Rattus norvegicus: one gene and its partners. Each later gene encodes a partner of the first gene's protein in a complex. Links are inferred from orthologs where the notes say so. Each region holds a gene or a part of one and is shown in the gene's direction. Other genes may lie near its edges. The genes, in order: Smc4, Ncapd2, Ncaph, Ncaph2 and Ncapg.

Region 1 (3,990 bases):
GTTCACTGGCCACTCCCATTCTTGGAGTGCTTTCCTTTTCTTAATAAACTGCTTTTAATTCTAAAGAGAAAGAATGAAAAAGTATTTATCTTTTAATAATGAAAACCTTTAAACACCTTTAATTTTTACTGTAAATTAAGTTATGGAGTAGTTTAAAATTAGTATAAGTGTGACTTTAAATTTAAATTTTTTTTTAAATTTACTTTTATGCAGCGTTTTTCCTGTATTATTGGACCAAATGGCAGTGGAAAATCCAATGTTATTGATTCCATGCTTTTTGTGTTTGGCTATCGAGCACAAAAAATAAGGTCTAAAAAGCTGTCAGTACTGATACATAATTCTGATGAGCACACGGATATTCAGAGTTGTACTGTAGAAGTTCATTTTCAAAAGATAATTGATAAGGTAAGATTATTTGCTACTTGCAACTTCAAGCAAGAAAAACACATCACATTTTATTATTGTAGACCTGAATTGTTTATTTTATGTTTGTGTATAATTAAAGCAAAAGAAATGTTTTTTGCTTCTGTGACCATATTTGCTTCAACTTTTTGGAGGAAGACACTGACTTAGGGGACCCTGAGTGCTAACTAAGCATTCATTCTATTCAGGATACATATGGGCTTCATTTTAAGTCATACATTTTTTCTCTTTAGGATAAACATTTTAATTTTTAAAATGTAATAATTGAGTCTAAAATATAGTAATTAGCTGTGTGTGTAAAATATGGAATTTTCTAAGGTTTGAGCTACCATGATGTATTTGTAGCATTTTTTTAAAATGGTAGGGGACAGGCCTCTGTTTAATTAGCTTAAAAAAATCTATGATTCAAAAAGCAACTGAAAAGAACCTTAAAAAAAATTAATGCATATAATAAAGTAACAGATGATTGGATGCTGGGGGTGTGTTTTAAATATACAGAAACATCTATCGTAATTTTGTTCTGAATTCATTCTGTTGTATTTGAGTTAGAGAATAAATTGCCAGTAAATCAGATATTCCAATACCTAGTCTTTGATCCATCTAAAATTGAATATGACACAGAGCCTTTAAGAATAAATGAACTTTAATGCTAAAATAAATTGATTATTTGCTTTATTGGCTATATAATTGAATTTTTATGATTTGTCTTTCAATTAATGATAGGAGATGTTGTTCAGGAAAGTGCAAAGGGAATCCCAGACACAGACACACACAGACACCACACACCCACACAGACACTACACACAATAAACTGACAGCCATACTCCCTGACACACCTTGACCAGTAAAGTATTTCCCCTTAGTACTTTCCTTAAGTCATCTCTTTTTAACCAGTCATCAAGGTTATTCGAATGGAGTGGGTTGTTGTACATATGCTGGAGTTCTTGTTCACCTTCCTTGGCTCTTATTCAGATATATTTTTTGGCTTCTTCAAAAATTTCATTTTTGTTTGCTTGGTTTAAACTTTTAGAGGTTTTTGAGAAAGAAACCAAACAACTTGGAGAAGTATCTAGTCCTTTGTAAACCAGTTTATTTTTACTTCATTTTAAAATGGTTGTCAGCTTATGGTCATACTTAATTCAGGGGAGATAAAACTAGTAATAGGTGAAAAGTACTAAAGTTAGTTATATACATTTATGACTCTGCTAAAGAATACAAGAAAAAAATAAAATATTTAATCCGTTCCATTAGTTTCAGTATAAAGTAAATAAAATCTGGATCAAACATACCAACAGTTTTCTGGTTCTGTTTTTCCTAAAAACAGGAAGGGGATGATTATGACGTCCTTCCTAACAGCAACTTCTATGTATCTAGAACAGCCTACAGAGATAACACTTCTGTCTATCATATAAGTGGGAAGAAGAGGACATTTAAAGATGTTGGAAATCTTCTTAGAAGCCATGGGATTGACTTAGACCATAATCGATTTTTAATCTTGCAGGTACGTTTAAAAATTCTTCCAAAGTTTTTGGGTTTTGGTTTGTAATAAAGCTTCAAAGGGCGTTGTTCTGTTTGGTGAATCCTGTCTTTTGGAACCTTAAAGTACTGTAGCAGCACATCATGGTTTACATACTACAGTCAAGATGCGAATCATTATTTGCTGCTCTAGAAATTTAAGGAAATTCATTCAAGACTATATTGTTATCATCACACTTGTATTATTATGTTTGGACATTGACATACTTGTTCCGCTCTAGCAGCACGTAAATATTGGCGTAGTGAAATAAATATTAAACACCAATATTATTGTGCTGCTTTAGTGTGACAGGGATATAGCAACTCCCTTTAAGATAAAAGTGTTTCATAGTCCCTTTTGTTTATTGTCACTTTTCTAACATAAAAACCATATATTTGATATTACAGCAAATTTTCCTGGGTACCTAATATAATATTTTTATATTTCAATAAAGGTTTACTTTGCGTGGGTTTAATTTGTACACAATGGCCTAATTTCTTAAACCAATACTATTAGTATCAATTCTTAGGGAAGTCCTTTTTAGAAGTATAAAAAAAATTAGGTTCCTGGTATTTTCATTATTATTATTTCTTTTATTTTATTGTTTCTTCCTTTTTATTTATTTTTCCAATTTTGGTGTGAGTATAGAAGTAAAAGTATATCCTGCTAGTATAATTTGGAAGGAAAATTTTGTCTTCCCTACTTTTTTTTTTTAATACAGTTAGGTATTATGAAATTTCTGTTCTGATTTGAAATTATCTTTTTTTTTTTTGTACTATGCCAAGCTACTAGGAGCATGAATAAAATTTAAAAATGAAATTGCCTGTTATGCAGAGACAGCTGCCGATACAGTGTATCTTTTACTACTGATTTTAAAATAAGTTGGGAGTTTCAATTTAATATAAAATGTTATGTTTATAAATGTTCCCACTAACATAATTTTCACAAATTTTACTCTATATTCTTGAGATTATTATTATTTGAATCATACCCAGTATAAAAAACAAATGATAATTTTCTAGAATACCCCTTAACTGTCATAATAGTGTATTTACAGTACTTTAGTGGGCCAGTGTTACTTAAGTATTGAAAAAAATCAGTTGCAGACATGCATGCTAAATAAGATTTGGATTTATATAGATGTAGCCTTATACCATTGTAGTATTTTTTAGATTTCTATTTTCAGAAATTTGGTTTAATTAACTGGATAAAAACCTGTATTCCTTTATAATCTTAAATTTAGTGGTGGTAACAATTTTGCAGGGAATTATACTAATCTTTTTATTATTTGCTGTTTGCTTAATTTTATTCTGAGATCAGTTTTATGCCAATACAAAATAGACTATGTTTTAGGTCTTGTAAAGTTTTTATACAACGTCTACATAATTTGCTAATACAGGAAGCTGATAAAGTAACTTCCCAAAGAAATAAATAAGTTGAGTTTATATTAAAACCTGCTCCTGGAGTACTTAAGATGAGTTGGTCCTCCTAACTGAACCCTTGTCTGCTCTCACAATTAAACTTTTATATTCTTTCCAAAGAATACTAAGTTAAACATTCTAATTAACAGATTTAGTTTGATTTGGTTGAACTTAGATAAGAACTTTAGCAACTAGATAGAATTCAGAATTCTGTTAAGTCTGAGAGAAAGTGGAAGTAGTTTCTGTGAGTGTTCCTTAGCTCCTTATCACAATCTTTGATTCTTCAACTAGTAAGATTTAAAGCATATGAAGGTAAGTGATATTGTAGCTTTTATTTCATTCTCTCCTCACTGACATTTGTCTTAAAAATTACCCATGGTTAGGGAGGCTAGAAAATCAAAGACAGTATCATAGTACAGCATCCAAGATGCAGAGACAGTGATATGATTATTTCATACGTAATCTAAATTTAGGGAAAGCAAATTTTTAAGATTAAAATGAACTAGATTTTAGAAACTGAAAAGGCTTTAATTACTGTTTATGGACTCATGTTTCTTTAAGCATCTTTGTATCCAGATCCAAGTTTCACTCACTATTTAAATGTGCTTCTAATGGGGCACTGTGCTGAGA
Region 2 (3,990 bases), on another chromosome or scaffold:
GGCTGGGGGAGTTGACATTTGCTCTGGAAGGGGAGCAGCTCAGTCATAGGGCGCCTTTGCAAACTAGAGAGGTCTGCGGGAATTGAGAAATGAACCACAGTGTTTTAAAACACATTGTAATCTCATACCTTCACATCGTTGAAAGAAATCTCCGAAGGGTGTTGATAGCCACTAGACTCCCAGGTACACTTGAGCAAAACTTTCCCGTACTCTCCAATTCCTAGGCCCTGAAGCTTCCACACACGAATCTCCTAGGCACACAGATCCAGGGCTAACTGGCAGTAAAGACTCTCCTAGTGTGCCTGAGCCTGAGGGGTCCCAGAGGGACGATGAGCTGCTGAAGCAGGAGATGCTGGTGCAGTACCTGCAGGATGCCTACAGCTTCTCCCAGAAGATCACAGAAGCCATTGGCGTCATCAGCAAGATGATGTATGAGAACACAACTACAGGTAGGCCGGGTGCTCTTCAGAAACAGCCCTGCCCGCTCACCTTTGTTATTGGGATAAGACCTCACTCATTTTTTTTTTTTTTTTCTTTTTTTCGGAGCTGGGGACCGAACCCAGGGCCTTGGGATTGCTAGGCAAGCGCTCTACCACTGAGCTAAATCCCCAACCCGACCTCACTCATTTTTATGTGCGTGAATGTGTACTACATGCAGGGTTGGTGCCTGTGGTGAGCAGAAGAGGGGGTCAGAGATTCTTTGCAGCTGGAATTAGAAATTGTTGTGAGCCACCATGTGGGTACTAGGAATCAAACCTGGGTCTTCTGGAAGAACAGTTCTTAAACCCTGCTCCATCATCCAGTCCCTGATGCCTGCATCATTAAAAGGCAGAGGTTGTTTATCACTGTTGACATTTATAGTTTACTTTGTTTAACAGTGTCACGAGAAGGCGTTCTAGCAGTCATTCTCAGGGACAATGACAATGACCTCTACAGCCATGTTACTGTGTTACCAAGGGTTCTATCTATGAGTATTGTGACATTTGCCAAGTAGATGGGTGATATTTGTGTCTGTTCTCAGTGGTGCAGGAGGTGATTGAGTTCTTTGTGATGGTATTCCAATTTGGGGTACCCCAGGCCCTGTTTGGGGTACGCCGCATGCTGCCTCTCATCTGGTCTAAGGAGCTTGGTGTCCGGGAAGCTGTCCTTAATGCATACCGCCAACTGTACCTCAGCCCGAAAGGGGACTCAGCCAGGTATCTGGGGTTCCTTGTCTTCGTTAACTTTTCTGAGGTCAGCTTCTCACGGGATTTCCTAGTCTTCTGAATGAGGAAGATATTCTAGGGTTGTTCTGAACTCATGGATGGGTCTATACCAGGCTCAGGGTGGACTTCTGCTGGGGTCTGCTCCGAGCACTTATTTAATCTAACAGCCTGTTTGCCAAGTTCTGATTCCCAGTCGTAGTGACCACTGATCTCTGCTGTTCCTGCAGAGCCACAGCGCAGGCCTTGATTCAGAACCTCTCGTTGCTGTTAGTAGATGCCTCCGTCGGGACCATTCAGTGTCTTGAAGAAATTGTAAGTCCCCTTGTTCCTTCTCTCATCCCACACTTACAATTAGTGGCTGTTCCTGTGCGCAGAGATCTGCTCAGCCCCACAAAGAAGTTTAATTAATTGCTTTCCCATTCCCAACTTTATTTTTATTTCCTAGTTTGTTTCCTGTTGGTTTGAGGCAGTTGTCTGACTGTGTAGCCCAGGCTTGCCTCAAACTCATAGTCCTCAGTGTTCAGACTCAGGTGTGTTTGGTTATAGTAAAAAAAAAAACAAAAAACCACAAAACATATTTAGTAAAATGTAGCACAAGTATCCACCTCCAGAATTGGTGACAGAGGTGAGCAGGATAACAGTGATGCTTAATGTGTGCCTAGCACTGTCCTTAACACCACTGGGCAACAACTCAGGAACAGTTCTTTGTGTAGCTAGGGTGGGAATCTGTGAGGGAGGCTCAGGGAGAGGGAGGGTGACTGGCTGCAGCTAGATTTGCCGCACATACACTATATAAGCTAGTGCTAGAAAAGATGTTCAGCCTCTGCTCAAGGGTAGAGGTCAGGGGCTTACCTCAACATGATGGTACAAGTCAGCATGGTATGGAAGGTCGGTCAGAGAGACAGAGACAGAATTCTGATAGGAAGTAAGGCAGTGTTCTCTGTGTTCTGACTCAAGGTCATTATTAGACAATGATCCAGTTGAGAGCATGGGCTGCAACTCAATTGTGGAGGCCACTGAATGCCTTCAAGTTAGGGGGTCCCCGGGGTTTGAATGAAGTGGCAGTGACGGCCAGACCTGACTACTGATTGCTACTTTTGTTCCTTTCTGGGGAAAGAGGACCTGGCGGTGGCAAGCGGCTTGGTATTTCCCAGGCTGGCTGCTGCTCAGGACTCCCACAGTAGTCAGGGAAGGGCTGGAGACATGTGCTGAGATGACCCGCCTGTCACACACAAGCCTGCTGGGCATACAGTGGTGAGAGGGCAGACAGGGCCTGCAGAAGCAGCTGTGGGTAGGCGACATGTGACTGACAGGCCGTCAGCATTGCTGGGAAAATGAAAAGGCAAAAGGGACAGTGGCCCTGTCACAGATACATGGACTTGTGCTCACAGTAAGAAATATTCAGCATGCAGTCAGAACTGTGCACCTCATAGAACTCAGAATGTGTGATCTTAGGAAGTGCAGCTTTGAAGAAAGCCATGAAGCAGGAAATAGAGAATGGAGCAAGAAATACTCCTCGCACTCTGTTTACATTTGAGCCTCTTCCTCTTCTACCCCCAAGTGCTAGTTCCATCCAGGTTCTCAGAGTTGTCCTGAGACAGGTAGACCAGGGGACTTTTATTCTGAAGCAGACTTACTGTTCTTCTCTCCTCAGCTTTGTGAGTTTGTGCAGAAGGATGAGATAAAGCCAGCAGTGATCCAGCTGCTGTGGGAACGGGCAACGGAGAAGGTCCCGTGCTCTCCTCTGGAGCGCTGTTCCTCTGTCATGCTTCTTGGCATGATGGCACGGTGAGGCTTGGATCCAGAAAGCAAGCAGAGTGGGGAAGGCAAGGAAAGTCTGAAAGGTCCCTTTTCCTCAGTAATGCAGTCAGCCTAGTTGAGCTGTCATGGGGTCGGCTTCCTGGGTGAAGAGGGTACCTGCCCGCCTGTCTTCTATAGTTAAAGCTCGAGGGATCCAGGAACCTGGCTCTGGGTCAGATCTTTCTGGAGTGCTTCAGAGCTGTAGACATCCCACAGCGGGTACTGATGCCTTCCTGCATTGGTGTTGTCTGCCACAGAACCCTGCCCAGGGCTGCCTTTAACTCTGCTTTCCTTTCCCTAGAGGAAAACCAGAAATTGTAGGAAGCAACTTAGACACCCTGGTGAAGGTAGGGCTGGATGAGAAGTTTCCACAGGACTACAGGCTGGCCCAGCAGGTGTGCCTCGCCATTGCCAACATCTCGGACAGGAGGAAGGTAGGTGATGTGGGGTGGCTGTGACTCAGCTGAGGGGAGTGGAGAGCTTCCTGTTGGCCTTTCTCACTCTGGCATTCTGTTCTCTTCTTCTCAGCCTTCCCTGGGTGAACGTCACCCTCCCTTCCGGCTGCCTCAGGAGCACAAGTTGTTTGAACGACTTCAGGAGATGGTCACAAAGGGTAAGCTATCCAGAGGGCCTAAAGTAGGTCTGTTTGGTTCCTTTCTCCAGAGAGATCAACTTCTCCTTTCTCTCTAGGCTTTGCACACCCAGATCCCTTCTGGATCCCATTCAAAGAGGTGGCAGTGACCCTGACTTACCAATTGGCAGAGGGGCCTGACGTGATCTGTTCCCAGATGCTGCAAGGCTGTGCAAAGCAAGCCTTGGAGAAACTTGAGAAGAATACCACTGAGGGGGACTCCAGTAAGTGGGCAGAGGCCTCAAGGATGGGGTGGGCAGCCAGCCTCTGTTGTGTTTTCCTGAAGGGTCGGGAAGTTCAGCCCACACCATCCCCTTTTGTTGAGGTTGATGATGGGTTGAGTGGCCCATGAGT
Region 3 (4,581 bases), on another chromosome or scaffold:
TCCGCCAGAGAGGGCTGCTTGGAGGTGGGTCTTTGTTAGCTGACTGATGCCCTATACTGTGTGTTCAGGATCCAGTGTAGCCCTGAGCCTTTCTCATGGTGAACTTTTAAGAACAAAACCATGTTCTGGGTTGACACACTTCAGTTAACGAGAACTGTTAGCGAGAAGTGGAACTACAGAGGCTAAAAAGCAAGGTTAGAACATTTAGAGACTTTGATAGATTCTGTCTTTGTTTCCCTTTGGCAGGTGCTCCTACCTCCACGATGAGTTTAACAGTCCAAATTGTCATGGAGTCAGTGCTGCTAAGGTCTGGGGCCGGTACACCAGGCTGCCTCATTCCAAAGTAGTTTTGCAAATCCATGCAAAAACTAAATAGCTTTCAAGAGAAGCTTTTGGGAGTTAGAGAAGTAGCTTGTTGGTCCAGAGTACTTGTTGCTCTTGCAGGAGACCTGGGTTTCATTCCCAGCACCCACATGGTGGCTCACAAACATCTGTCACTCCAATCCCAGGGGATCTGACAGCCTTTTCCGGTCTTCTTGGGTACCAGCCATGCATGTAGTAAATGCACACATACTCAGGTAAAACACTCATTCACATCAAATGAAATTTTTTTTAAAATTAGCTTTCAACAAAGGGCAGAGCTTTGGTTTCCCAAATGAGGGGCACCGATGACAGTAAGCAGGCAGGCAAATGGTGTAAAGGATGTTAAACAGCTACACCCCAGGCCTCCGTTTAAAAAAGGGTGGTAGGCAGCTGGCCTCCAAAAAGCCTTTTACAAGAATCTGGACAAAAGCTTCGTTTTCAAATGTATGTACATGCATGTGTGTAGATGTATGCTTTGGTGCAGATACACATGCTCACACAATGCTCTGATATGTGTGTGTATGGACGTGTACACATACATGCAGACAGAAAGCTCTCTGGAAGTGTATACACGTATATGAACTGTACTGGGCGCCCACACGTGTCAACACAAGGCTCTGGGGTGTGTGTACACACATGCACACACAATGCTCTTGGGATGTATACATACACAATACTCTGGGTGGAGTGTACACATGCATACACAATGCTTTACGTTCCTTCTTGCTTGCCTGGAACTTCAAGAAGGATACCGTTTTCTACCCACAAAGAACATGTCTTTTAAGACAATGAACCTCCATCCCTCAGAAACCTGCCTCCCCATTACAATCCAGATTCTAGGAAAGTACAGCCTTTGCCCGCCCAGATCTACACATCCTACTCGGCGCCCAGCGCTCGGCCGCCAGCGTTTCCAAACGTCATCAGCTAGGTCACCGCTGCAGCTAAGCTCACTTGCTTAGACTTCAATGAAGGACTTCCCGCCGGCACAGTTTTTAATCAGCCGCCTGGGCGGTCTGCGCAGGCGCACCAAAGGCCACTCCCCCAGGGGCGTCACGCGGCAGTTACCGCGCTTGGCGCTCACGATTTAAAACTTAACTACGGAGACGTGGAGAGCAAGATGAAAATCCCACGCTCAGGTGAGCTCGAGTGGGTCGAGGCGCGGCTGTCAGGATCAGGACCGAAGGGTGCTCGCGTGGGCAGGTCCAGAAGGGACGAATGTGTTCGGCGGGGTTCAGCCGGGGGCTGTGGAGGGGGAAGGGAAGACAAGCCGAGGGAAAGCGGGGCGCTGGGCCAATCAGGGTGCAGCTGCCAGTGGCGGCCAGGCTCTAATGCTCCCCGCGCCCCGGTTCCAACGGAGGAAAAGGTTGGGGGAGTGGTTCTGGACTGGACGTTGTGTGGGGAGCTGTGGAAGCATAGGGTCGACCGTTCTGTGTTGAGCACTCGTGCCTGTCTTTTGGAACTGATTCAAAAGTCTTGAGGGCTCCCTTTGGGACAGACCTTGGTCAGATGCAGAAATTCGCAACCGAAGAAGCCTGGGCACTTGAGTTGGAGACTGGAGGATCAGAAATTCAAGGTTATCCTCAGCTATAGTGACTTTGAGCTAGCTCGGAGCATCGTGTCCAAGGGACGAGCCAGGAAGGAATCTGAACTGGTCTAGGAATTACTACACTGTATGTTCTCAACCTTTGGGTGACAGTCCCCATGGGGAGGTGTCAAATGACCTTTCTACAGGGTTCACCTAAGATCATCAGAAAACAGATGTTTACATTAAGATTCATAACAGTAGGGGCTGGGGATTTAGCTCAGTGGTAGAGCGCTTACCTAGGAAGCGCAAGACCCTGGGTTCGGTCTCCAGCTCCGAAAAAAAGAACCAAAAAAAAAAAAAAAAGATTCATAACAGTAGCAAATTTACAGTTATGAAGTAGCAATGAAAATAATTTTATGGTGGGGGGGGTCAGCACAATATGAGGAACTGTGTCAAAGGGTCACAGCATTAGGAAGGTTGAGAACCACTGAGCTAGACCATTATAACTAAACTTAGTGAGACTGACAACAGGCAGGACCTGGTAGGCCTAAGTTAGAGTTTTCTAATAATAGTTTCATTTTGAATTTGTTGCTTGTGACTTCCTGGAGAGGTGAGGTGCACAGGTGAGAGGGTTTCTACTGGATGAGTTTGACAGAGGTCCATAGGCTGAGAGGTAGATTTGTTTTTCTCTATCTCGGGGATCGTAAAGCCATGGGTCCAGGTGGGAACACCAGACAGACATTGTATTGAGTACATTCAGGACCAGCAACAGGTGGCCGGGTGGGAGGAGGGCACTGGAAAAAACCCAAGTTACAGGTATCACAGGAGCCAAGAGCAGCTCAAGAAGAAGAGACAAGTCCTGAAGTGCCCACTTCAGGCTGAGAACTGAAGCAGAGCAGAGGGGCTGAGTGAGTGGGAGGAAAAATCAGGCACAGGAAGTGCTCTTGACTTCAGTAACAATCCATTGAGTTAGATGTATACCGCCCCCTGCAGAGAACAATGGGTGGTGGATTTAAAGAGCTATCCCTCAGTGCTTCCAGTTTCTCAATTCCTTTCCTTATCCACATTTACAAATGTCTTGATTTTTGCCCACAAAACATCACATCTGCTCTCTTGACGTTTTTGTTTTGTCTTGGTGTTGGATGAGAGTTGTGTAAACTATACCCTTGTAAAGTTTTTGGACTGCCTTTTCCTTCTGCTGTCTGTGGACAAGCATTTGTTTGTTGGGTCTCTTTGTTTACTTTTGTGGTATAAGTCTTGTGCCATGGCGTGTGCATGCCAGGCAAGAATTCTATATGGCTCTATATTCCCAGTCTCCTTTTATTTTTTTCTGTGTGCCTATAAAATCTTATTGTGCACATTGAAATCGCATTGTATCGCCTGTTGGGAAACAGCAAAGTCAGCTCACTCTCTGGGCGTTCTCTCCTTCCCTCCTCCCATTTTTCTCCCTCTCTCCTTTTCTCCCTTTTTCCTTCCCTCCCTCCCTCTCCCTTTCTCTCAGCACGTGCCCACCCAAGGAGAAGAGCTAGGCAAGGACTCTTCCACCAGCCATAGCCAGAGCCAGGTGACGTTCCTCCATTTGGGGCGGTGTTGAAGCAGATACAGCATAGAGACAGATAGCTTGTTTGCTTACCTAAAGTCTTCTTAATATGCGGTGAAGCCACGTTTAAAACAATGCTCTTTGTTTGTTAAATCGGGGGTAGGGATTAGGATGAGTTAGGGTTCCTTTAACTCCTCCCAGGAATCTTGTGTCTTACTCTAAAACAGTAGGTCAACCAGGCCTCAGTCACACCTTGAACATGTCATAACCTGGCATAACCTGTCATCCGTGTGTTTGCATCCCCCCTGTGTGTCCAGCTCATTGTCTCTTATTCACATCCTGAGGTCAGCTTTTGTTTCTGCCGACATATTCTACGACTGTTTGTCACCTATGGCCACCTTGTGTCCCCTTCCTTCCTTATTTATGTTACCTTCCTGGTCAGTCAGTATGCTCACGTGTCTCCCTGTGTCCTCTTCCTTCCTTTTTTTTTTTTTTTTTTTTTTTTTTTTAGATTTATTTTATTTATTATATAAGTACACTGTAGCTGTCTTCAGATACACCAGAAGAGGGCATCAGATCTCTTTACAGATGGTTGTGAGCCACCATGTGGTTGCTGGGAATTGAACTCATGACCTCTGGAAGAGCAGTCGGGTGCTCTTAACTGCTGAGCCATCTCTCCAGCCCGTCCTCTTCCTTTCTTACAGGTTCTTGGCAAGACCCACAACCCCGGTTAATTTAAACACCCCCATTCTGCACACTTGACAGTGGCCAGAGAGAAATACTTAGGGCTGCTGGGTGGTTGGTTTGGGGCCTTCAAAGCTGCTGTCAACTATGCCACACCCCCACGTCATTCATTTCCTAATTCTAGGTGGCTGGCCATGTCCTCCTTTCCTTAGCTTTCCAGTGCCTTCTGCACTGTCCCTTAGCTGCTGAGTTCACCTGCATTCCAGTCATAAAGACAGTAAAAACCACAGAGAACATGCGGCTTAGTTGGTAGAACCATGTTGGCTTCCCCTAGCCCTTTTCCTGTTGCGTAGTTTTGTAAGTATGCTGGAATCCATCTCAGCCGTCAGCTCCTCTCCACTCACTTATTTTGTGAGCTCATCCGGTGCTAAATGAATACCAGTCGGTGACTCCCAAACTCACCTCACTG
Region 4 (3,990 bases), on another chromosome or scaffold:
CTCCAGAATAAATATGAAGCTAGCCTGAGCTATATATGAGGTCCTGTTTCAATTTTCAAATAACAACAGAAAGACTTCCACATCTCCTTACGTTTTGCTGTCTTGTCCATTGATGCTGTATGTGTTCTTTTTGTTTTCCGTATAGTTATTATCAGTGTTCTAACATGCCTTATGGTATTACTTTCTTTTATTTATTAATTGTTATCAAGTATTTATTATGTGACAAGAACCACTTTAAATTAAAAATCAAAAACAGATGGCAAGCAAAGCAAAGAGTAATTCATCCTTCAATAAAGTTTCTGCTCTCTAGGGAGGATGGGTATCAGGGTAGGAACCACATTATTGGTTCCTTCCTATGGGTGTCTATTTGGCCTAAGCATTGTTTGTTTATGTTTCATATAAATCAATGTAGCCTTTACAACAAAGGCTGAAATCGCCACTAGAGAGATAAAATGATTTGTTGGAAGTCACAGCTGACAGTGGACAAAGCAGCTCTGTTCCCCATTATCTGTATTGTGTGTTTCACAAAGGAGTAGTAAACTGGAAAGAAGAGATTAGGATGTCAGGAAGACGTAGACTGAGGGACCTGATCGTATTTGAGGTAAAAGGAGTTTCCATGTCTGGTAAGCTAAAATTTGTATGTAGTGGGGACATGGGGCTTGCCTCGGTCAGTAGAAGGCATGAAGTACCGTTCACAGGGGAAGGCTAGTGGCTGGAGAAGACTGGTGAGTTAGAGGCCTCCCTTGGGGGGTTTGTGTAGAATTTCAGGTTCTCCCTCTGAGTGGCAGAAAGTCTGTAAGAGGTTAGGGAGAGGTTAGACTGGGCCAGATCAGCTGTCATTAGAGAGGAGCTTGAAGTAGTAAGGGGCGGAGACCCTTCAGTTTGGGGGGATAGGTGGGGATGCCAGGATGGACTTGTTCATTGGATCTCATTTATAAAAATCTGGAGAGTTGAATAAGACAGATGGACAACAGTTTGGGCAGCAGTAAGAGTGTCTGCAAGACTTCAGTTTAATCCCTAATACTGTGAAGAACAATTCTCTGGGGTGTTTTTATTTGTTTGTTTGTTTATTATTTATAGATCTTCAGTAGGTATCTAACTGGAACCCCAGAGCCTCGGAGAAAGCTGTTCTGAGGATATGTTGGCACTTTGTTGACATTTGTGACTGGTAGCTTGAACAGAGATGGGTAGGGGCACATGGTAGAAGGTAGAAGTGGGAAAAAGCTAAAACACATAGCTGAGGCTACCAGAGGCCAAGGAGGGCTGCAGAGGGGAACTACTTATGGCACCTGTTTCCTGAGTTTTCCAATTAAAGGATAGAGTGTACTGCATTTGTCTCTGTCTTTTCCTTCTCAGTGTAAAGGGTCTGTCTGCTGTAGTTTGTCCCAGTTGGCTTTTGACCTTGTGGGGGGCGCATGTACAATTTGGAGTGCTGGTGAGAGCTGGTATGTAGCTTTGGCCATCATGGTCAATGTCCTTTGGGGACCTCCCTCTTGTAAAACCTTTGGTCTGGAAGGATCTAGGAACTAGGGGGAATCACAAAGATCTAGCTTTTCTCTAGAATCACCCAGATACAACTGGCAAATTCAAGAGTAGACTTGGAGTACCTGTGTTTGTAGGTGATAGCTTGAGCTACCAGGAAGGAAGTGAACACAGGCTCCTCCTGCACTGCTATCTTATTTTCTCTGAGGCTGTCTCCCTATGTAACCCAGCAGACCTTGAATCCTGCCTCAGTCTCCCGGCTGCTGGGGTCATAGGCATACCACCCCCTTACCGAGCCCAGCTTACTAACGTTCTTTCTTGCAGCTGGACCAGATCTGCATTTCTTTTGATGAAGGTAAAACCACGATGAACTTCATTGAGGCAGCACTGTTGATCCAGGGTTCAGCCTGTGTCTACAGTAAAAAGGTGGGTTCCACACACTGCTGGTGTTTGTGCTTCGTGTTGAGCTCTCTCTGTAACCTGCCTACCCTTAGCTCACAACTGGAGTGTACCGTTGGCTTTTATTTTGAGACACATCCCATGCATCCCAGGCTGATCTCAAACACTACACATGTCTGAGGAAGATGGCCTTGAACTTCTGATTCCTTTGCCTCCACCTCCTGGAATGCTAGTGTGACAGTGTAAATCACCATGTCTAGTGTTTGTAGTCCTGTGGGCAGGGTCAAAGCTAGGGCTTCGTGCATGCTAGCCATGTGCTTCACCCCCTGAGCTCTATCTCCAGCCTGTTGGTTTTTGGAGTCAAGATTTTATTCGCTCTGACTGGCCTTGAGCTCGCTCTGTAGCTGAGGCTTGCCTTGAACTCTTTCCTTTTCATCTCAAGTGTTTGGATAACAGGCGTGTTCTACAATGCCCAGGTAACCGAGTTTAAAAACCAGTAGGCGGTTCTGTTGGAAGAAGTCTGCTGCATAAGCCTGAGGACCTGAGTGGATCTTCAACATCCACATAAAGAGCGGGGCATGATGGCAGGCATCTGTAACTCTAGCACGGTAGTGCGGAGACCCGAGAACCCTGAGCCCAGCCAGCCAGCCAGCCAGCCAGCCAGCAAGCCAGCCAGCTGATGAGTACTCTACTCAGGTTCAGTCAGGAAAACAAGGTGGAAGTAGTTAAGGAGGACACCTGAGGTTAGCTTCTAGCTTCCACAAACATCTGTACAATGTACATGCACCTCTGCGTGTTTGCACACATGCAAACACATACATACAACACATACTTACAAAATGGTGTGGCCAAGTTCATTTTGTATAGCACTTCTAGCATACACAGGGCCCTGATGGTGATTCCATAAAACCACAATAAGTAAAGTGGCCAGGAAGAGAGGGTCAGGGGTGCTGTGAGCGCTGCTGTCCCTCATGTGCATGATTTCAGGTACAGTGTGGATACTCTACCTTCCTCACTTCCACGTATACTTGCAGTTGTGCTGCATCATCATCTAGAACAACTCCAGTCTCATCCTGTGTGGGCCCTGTGGTTCTGTGGAGGAGACCAATAAGAAGCAAGTGAAAAGCTGGGGGCGGGGGGAAAGGGTGCACATCTTTAATCCTAGCACTTGCGAGGCAGAGGCAGGTGGATCTCTGTGAGTTTGAGGCCAGCCCTAGACTACAAAGTGAGTTTTAGGACAGCCAGGACTACACAGAGAAACCTCACAAAAACAAAAGTATTGAAAAAAGGTCTATTACATAGGCCATCATGGGTTATGTGGTGACAGGGCCATCAGACTCACAGCACCCTCCTGTGAATAGGGTAGTGTAGCTAGCAGGAGAAGCTGCAGCAAAAAACAGTGGGTACCATGTGTGAGGGTTCAGGCCTGTGGGGCATGTGCCAAGAGCTGCCTGAAACGTAGTGGGCACCCATCATGACATGGCCATGACCTGTGTCAAGGGGGCTGTGCTTGTGGATGTGTGGAATATGGGGCAGAGGCTGTCCAGGTAATTCTGATTTGATTTGATTTGACTGATTTGATTTGAGGTTATTGTTATTGTTGTATATGTGTGCTCTGTGCATGTATATGGTATGAAACCTGAGGTGGAAGTTGTGTCTTTACTTGATCTCTCCCCACTTCACTTTTTGAGACAGGGTCTGTTACTTAACCTGAATGCTGGTTCCTTGGGCTGCCTGGCTAGTGAATGTCAGGGTCCTTCTGTCTCTGCTTCCCCAGCCTTCTCCAAGATGGGGTTATAAGCAGGCACTGTCATGCTTGGCTTTTAACATGGATTCTGATGATGCAAACTCAGATTCCTCCTATTGCATGTCAGGTGCTTGTGTGTGTGGGTGTGTACACATGAGTGTCAGGTGCTTGTGTGTGTATGTGTGCACATGAGTGTCAGGTGCTTGTGTGTGTGTATGTGTGCACATGAGTGTCAGGTGCTTGTGTGTGTGTATGTGTGCACGTGAGTGTCAGGTGCTTGTGTGTGTGTGTATGTGTGCACGTGAGTGTCAGGTGCTTGTGTGTGTGGGTGTGTGCACATGAGTGCAGGCACTCTGAGAAGC
Region 5 (3,990 bases), on another chromosome or scaffold:
CTATAGAAATGTGTTTGAGAGATATGTACTTCATAATTTCATGTAGGATGCTACTGGTTTTCCTCCAGGAAGAAATAGGTTAACTAGAGATGCAAATAAAATTAACATGTTAGACTTTTCATTGTCGTGAGATACTAAGAAAACAGTTGGGAAGTGTCTTAGTTTTACTTCTGTGAACAGACACCATGACCAAGGCAAGTCTTTATAATTGGGGCTGGCTCACAGGGTCAGAGGTTCAGTCCATTATCATCAAGGCAGGAACATGACAGCATCCAGGCAGGCATGGTGCAGGAGGAGCTGAGTTCTACATCTTCATCTGAAGGCTGCTAGCAGAATACTGACCTGCAGGCATTTATGGTGAGGGTCTTAAAACCCACGCCCACAATGACACACCCACTCCAACAAGGCCACATCTACTCCAACAGGGCCATACCTTCTAATAATGGCACTGCTTGGGCCAATATACAAACTGTCATAGGAGGGAAGGAGGGTTTATTTGAGTTCATAAAGTTTTAGAGGTTTCTGCGAGAGTTGAGAGGTTGTTGCAGAACAGAGAGGCTCCCATCCTGACAGACAGGGGCCAGAATGCCTATGCTGTTTGGTGGTGGTGGTGGTGGTGGTGGTGGTGGTGGTGGTGGTGGTGTCTGGTGGTGGTTGGGGTGTGTGTGTGTGTGTGTGTGTGTGTGTGTGTGTGTGTGCGCGCGCGTGTGCGTGCGTGCGTGCAGGCGTGTGTTTCTTTACTGCCGTGTACTTTTAGGCCTTGTATACTAGCCTGTGAGGTAGTGCCACTTGCATTCAGGGTGGATCTTTCCTTCCTTTAATTGTCTTTGGAGATACCCTCATACACATCCAGTGATGTGCTCGATTAATGTTTACTAGCTGCTTCTCCACCCAGTAGAGTTGGCCGTCAAGATTAAGCATCTACACCTAGTACTATAGAACACATAGTGTAACCTAGTAAGTTAAAGGGCGTTTTTCCCTTGTGGTAGTCTAGTTAGGTGATTATCTCTTCAAGCACTTTACAAATGTGAATTCATTTTTCTTACAGTCCTCAAGTCCCAATGGTTTCAAACCTAATAGTTACTATAAAATGATACTTTAATGCACTTTGTGTTGTTTCTCCGTAATGAGTGGGTAAGGAAATGTAGATGTTGTGATGGTAAGTATGATGGCACAGAGTTTAAAATAAGATGCTTGCTGTGCTTTAAACCTTCCAGTTTACATGGGAAGAGAATTGGAGAGGTAATAGGCAAATCAGAGGAAATGTTATGGGCCAGATAAATGTAAGGCCTTGCATTGTCCATATTAAAGAATCGACCTTATTCAGAGATGATGGTGGATACAAGGATATTTTTAAGAATAGGATGAGTACTCTGTAATACAGGGTTAGTATTATTTGAAAGTAGATTAGAATGATAAACGCCGAGATGCTCATACTTCTTGGCAGAGTTTCAGAAGTATGGCTTGAGATGATAGCATTGTGAACCAGATGATGCTGAGTACAAATAGATGTGACCTACGTCAGAGTTATTTAAGGTCTAGTAACAGGAAGAAAAAGAATCAATCAAGAGTTTCTTAGGTCTCCTTTTGCTTTGGACAAATGAAAATAGATGGTCATGATATGATGATAGAGTGTACGAGTTAGACATTTAGTAATGGGTTAGTTCCATTTTGGATGTGCTGAGATTGAGGAGCCTGTGAAACATGAAAGAAGTGTGTTCTAGAAGATTCTAGATTCTAGATTCTACTCACCCCAGATAGTGTTCTATGACAGACTGACGACGTACTGTACACCAATGTCCAACTTCCTTAACTAATGTGTTTTCTTTGGGTTACTTACAGAAATATGAGGGGTTACTTATAGGAGCAGAAATGAGTGACTCGGGGTTGGGGATTTAGCTCAGTGGTAGAGCACTTGCCTAGCAAGCACGAGGCCCTGGGTTCGGTCCCCAGCTCCGAAAAAAAGAATAAAAAAAAAAAAAATGAGTGACTCAAAGGACAGCTGTATTACTAAAGGTCACCTCAGTGAGGGTGACAGCTCATAAAGCTGAGAACCTGGAGTATAACATTATACAGTCTGCTGGTAGCAGGTTGGAGAGTGTTCGTTCTAGGTGCCTCAGTTGGTCTAAACCTCTAACAGGCAGTTCAAATGGTTTCTGCTTCTTACAGGCAGTCGTTGAGTCTTTGCAGGTGACTTGTCTGAAAATCTTTTCAGCTCTTACTACTTACTCTGGCAGGGGAGGGGCCTAGTGAATCTGGTCAATTTCAGAAACTTCCCGAATCTGTTTTGAGGTGATTAACAATCCTGATTAAAGTGTCCTTTTAGACTGGAATGTTTCAATCTAGGAGGAAACTGTTACACAAAATTGGGCCAGCTCATAAATGAAAGATAAAGTTGCATGGTGAGATAAGACTGCCAAAGGAACAGAGTAACAGTATGCACAGAAAAGGTTTCAAGAGAGCAGTTGTTTAAGGGATGGTAAGTGATGTTCTTACTAATGATGGTTATTTTGTCTTTCATTTTAGAACGATGTGGAAACATTACAGAAGTGTTTTATTTTGTGTTATGAACTGTTGAAACGAATGTCCATTTCAACTGGAATTGGTGCAACCATGAATGGGATCATTGAATCTTTGGTACACTGCTGGCCTTTGAGACCTTTTATGCTCTTCTACTTTATTATATAATAATTTATAATAATTAATTAATAATTTAAAAATTAATAATTAAAAGACAACCACATCAGATAAATATAATGAACTATGTATATCCATAGTGACTACTTCATAATATGAAGAATAATTTAAATAATACATTTTTATAAAGTCACTTTTAAATAAAACAAGTTATTCATAGGATATGTTTATTGAATACATGTTATCTAAGAAATGCTTGAAATATAGTGTACATAAAATACAAAACTACAGATAGCCATCCTGGGTCTTCTGCTTAAGTGAAGGCAGCATTGTTAAAAAATAAATACTATATATTTTGTTGTAGATTCTTCCTGGAATAATAAGTGTTCATCCTATAGTAAGAAACTTGGCTGTTTTGTGCTTGGGATGCTGTGGACTACAGGATCAGAATTTTGCAAGTAAACACTTTATATTGTTCTTACAGGTAGGATTTATTTTATGACTGTGTGTCTGTTTCTTGAAATGCTCTTATCTCTGGTGATATGTTAAAATTCTGGGTGTGTTCAGATGTTTAATTGATGGATTGTGGATAATCTTTAGGGTTTTAATTTTTATCTTGATAGTTTATAAAAATGTCTTCATAGAACAAGATGGGGTAACAGTTTAAGTTGAGTCATGTAGGTTATATGAGTGCATACTATGTGCTGTCACTGTTCTTGGCTTACGATAAATATAGTAGGTAAATGATGAGGAGAACCAACCTGAGTTTGTGCTGTTGGAGCTTGTTTTTCTGAAGGGGAAACAGACTATGTGTTGTGCCAGCTAAGCATAACCAGAACATAGCAGCAGCAGTTGTGGGAGTGAGGTGAGGCAGAGAGCCTGTGCCTGGGATGCTGGCCTGAGTCTTACTTTGACATTCAGACACATAGAGGAAAGTTAAAAGACTAATCCTTATAAATACTTGAAAGAATGCTGTCTTTCTTTCTCTCTTTCTTTCTCTCTCTCTTTCTTTCTTTCTTTCTTTCTTTCTTTCCTTTCTTTCTTTCTTCCTTTCTCCCTTCCTTCCTTTCTTTCTTTCTTTCTAAGATTTTTTTTCTTAGATATGTTGCATGTGTATATATGCTATGCTGTGTAGGTTACTCATGGAGGCCCAAAGAGGGCACTGATCCACTCCTGTTGGGGTTACAGGTCAGCTGCCTGACATAGGTGCTCATATGAACTGAACTTGTGTCCTTTGCAAGATCATAACTACTCTTAACTGCTGAGTCGTCTCTCCAGCTCAGACATTTTATTTCCTTAGGAGAGAGAATAGAGGAGAGAGGTCTTAGGGGTAGGACTTTACTTGGCCTATTT

Evidence for each region.
Region 2: Smc4 (region 1) and Ncapd2 share a complex: the UniProt entries of both Homo sapiens proteins name them as parts of the condensin complex. The link is inferred for Rattus norvegicus from reciprocal best matches to the Homo sapiens genes SMC4 and NCAPD2.
Region 3: Smc4 (region 1) and Ncaph share a complex: the UniProt entries of both Homo sapiens proteins name them as parts of the condensin complex. The link is inferred for Rattus norvegicus from reciprocal best matches to the Homo sapiens genes SMC4 and NCAPH.
Region 4: the proteins of Smc4 (region 1) and Ncaph2 are in contact, whole or in part, in a cryo-EM structure (PDB 9F5W), measured with the Homo sapiens proteins. The link is inferred for Rattus norvegicus from reciprocal best matches to the Homo sapiens genes SMC4 and NCAPH2. Residues at the interface, in NP_001002800.1 of Homo sapiens: Ile100, Leu101, Gly102, Pro103, Ile112, Gly113, Pro114, Ser117, Gln1151, Met1152, Leu1155, Phe1227, Lys1228, Ser1231, Ile1232, Phe1235, Tyr1236, Glu1239, Gln1240, Asn1253, Asn1254, Phe1256, Glu1257, Arg1261, Gly1264, Ile1265, Tyr1266, Lys1267, Thr1268, Tyr1269; in NP_689512.2 of Homo sapiens: Arg494, Ile495, Trp498, Glu499, Thr501, Val502, Leu505, Leu506, Gln509, Glu510, His512, Phe547, Cys550, Arg551, Met553, Leu554, Leu557, Gln558, Ala560, Asn561, Tyr563, Val565, Glu566, Ile567, Gln569, Leu573, Glu574, Ala576, Val577, Asp578.
Region 5: Smc4 (region 1) and Ncapg share a complex: the UniProt entries of both Homo sapiens proteins name them as parts of the condensin complex. The link is inferred for Rattus norvegicus from reciprocal best matches to the Homo sapiens genes SMC4 and NCAPG.

Annotation. Positions count from the first base shown.
Region 1 is NC_086020.1:155,553,166-155,557,155, forward strand, and holds part of Smc4 (structural maintenance of chromosomes protein 4), read left to right. Parts: intron 1-213; coding exon 214-405; intron 406-1,747; coding exon 1,748-1,924; intron 1,925-2,012; exon of another isoform or gene 2,013-2,110; intron 2,111-2,161; exon of another isoform or gene 2,162-2,256; intron 2,257-3,990. UniProt on the Homo sapiens protein: Central component of the condensin complex, a complex required for conversion of interphase chromatin into mitotic-like condense chromosomes.
Region 2 is NC_086022.1:159,660,580-159,664,569, reverse strand, and holds part of Ncapd2 (condensin complex subunit 1), read left to right. Parts: intron 1-224; coding exon 225-449; intron 450-1,021; coding exon 1,022-1,196; intron 1,197-1,432; coding exon 1,433-1,517; intron 1,518-2,859; coding exon 2,860-2,993; intron 2,994-3,306; coding exon 3,307-3,439; intron 3,440-3,533; coding exon 3,534-3,618; intron 3,619-3,695; coding exon 3,696-3,860; intron 3,861-3,990. UniProt on the Homo sapiens protein: Regulatory subunit of the condensin complex, a complex required for conversion of interphase chromatin into mitotic-like condense chromosomes.
Region 3 is NC_086021.1:134,849,331-134,853,911, reverse strand, and holds the start of Ncaph (condensin complex subunit 2), read left to right. Parts: upstream 1-1,409; 5' UTR 1,410-1,480; coding exon 1,481-1,499; intron 1,500-1,652; exon of another isoform or gene 1,653-1,869; coding exon of another isoform or gene 1,870-1,936; exon of another isoform or gene 1,937-2,033; intron 2,034-4,581. UniProt on the Homo sapiens protein: Regulatory subunit of the condensin complex, a complex required for conversion of interphase chromatin into mitotic-like condense chromosomes.
Region 4 is NC_086025.1:122,305,313-122,309,302, forward strand, and holds part of Ncaph2 (condensin-2 complex subunit H2), read left to right. Parts: intron 1-1,356; exon of another isoform or gene 1,357-1,445; intron 1,446-1,806; coding exon 1,807-1,908; intron 1,909-3,990. UniProt on the Homo sapiens protein: Regulatory subunit of the condensin-2 complex, a complex that seems to provide chromosomes with an additional level of organization and rigidity and in establishing mitotic chromosome architecture.
Region 5 is NC_086032.1:69,628,230-69,632,219, reverse strand, and holds part of Ncapg (condensin complex subunit 3), read left to right. Parts: intron 1-2,526; coding exon 2,527-2,637; intron 2,638-3,001; coding exon 3,002-3,121; intron 3,122-3,990. UniProt on the Homo sapiens protein: Regulatory subunit of the condensin complex, a complex required for conversion of interphase chromatin into mitotic-like condense chromosomes.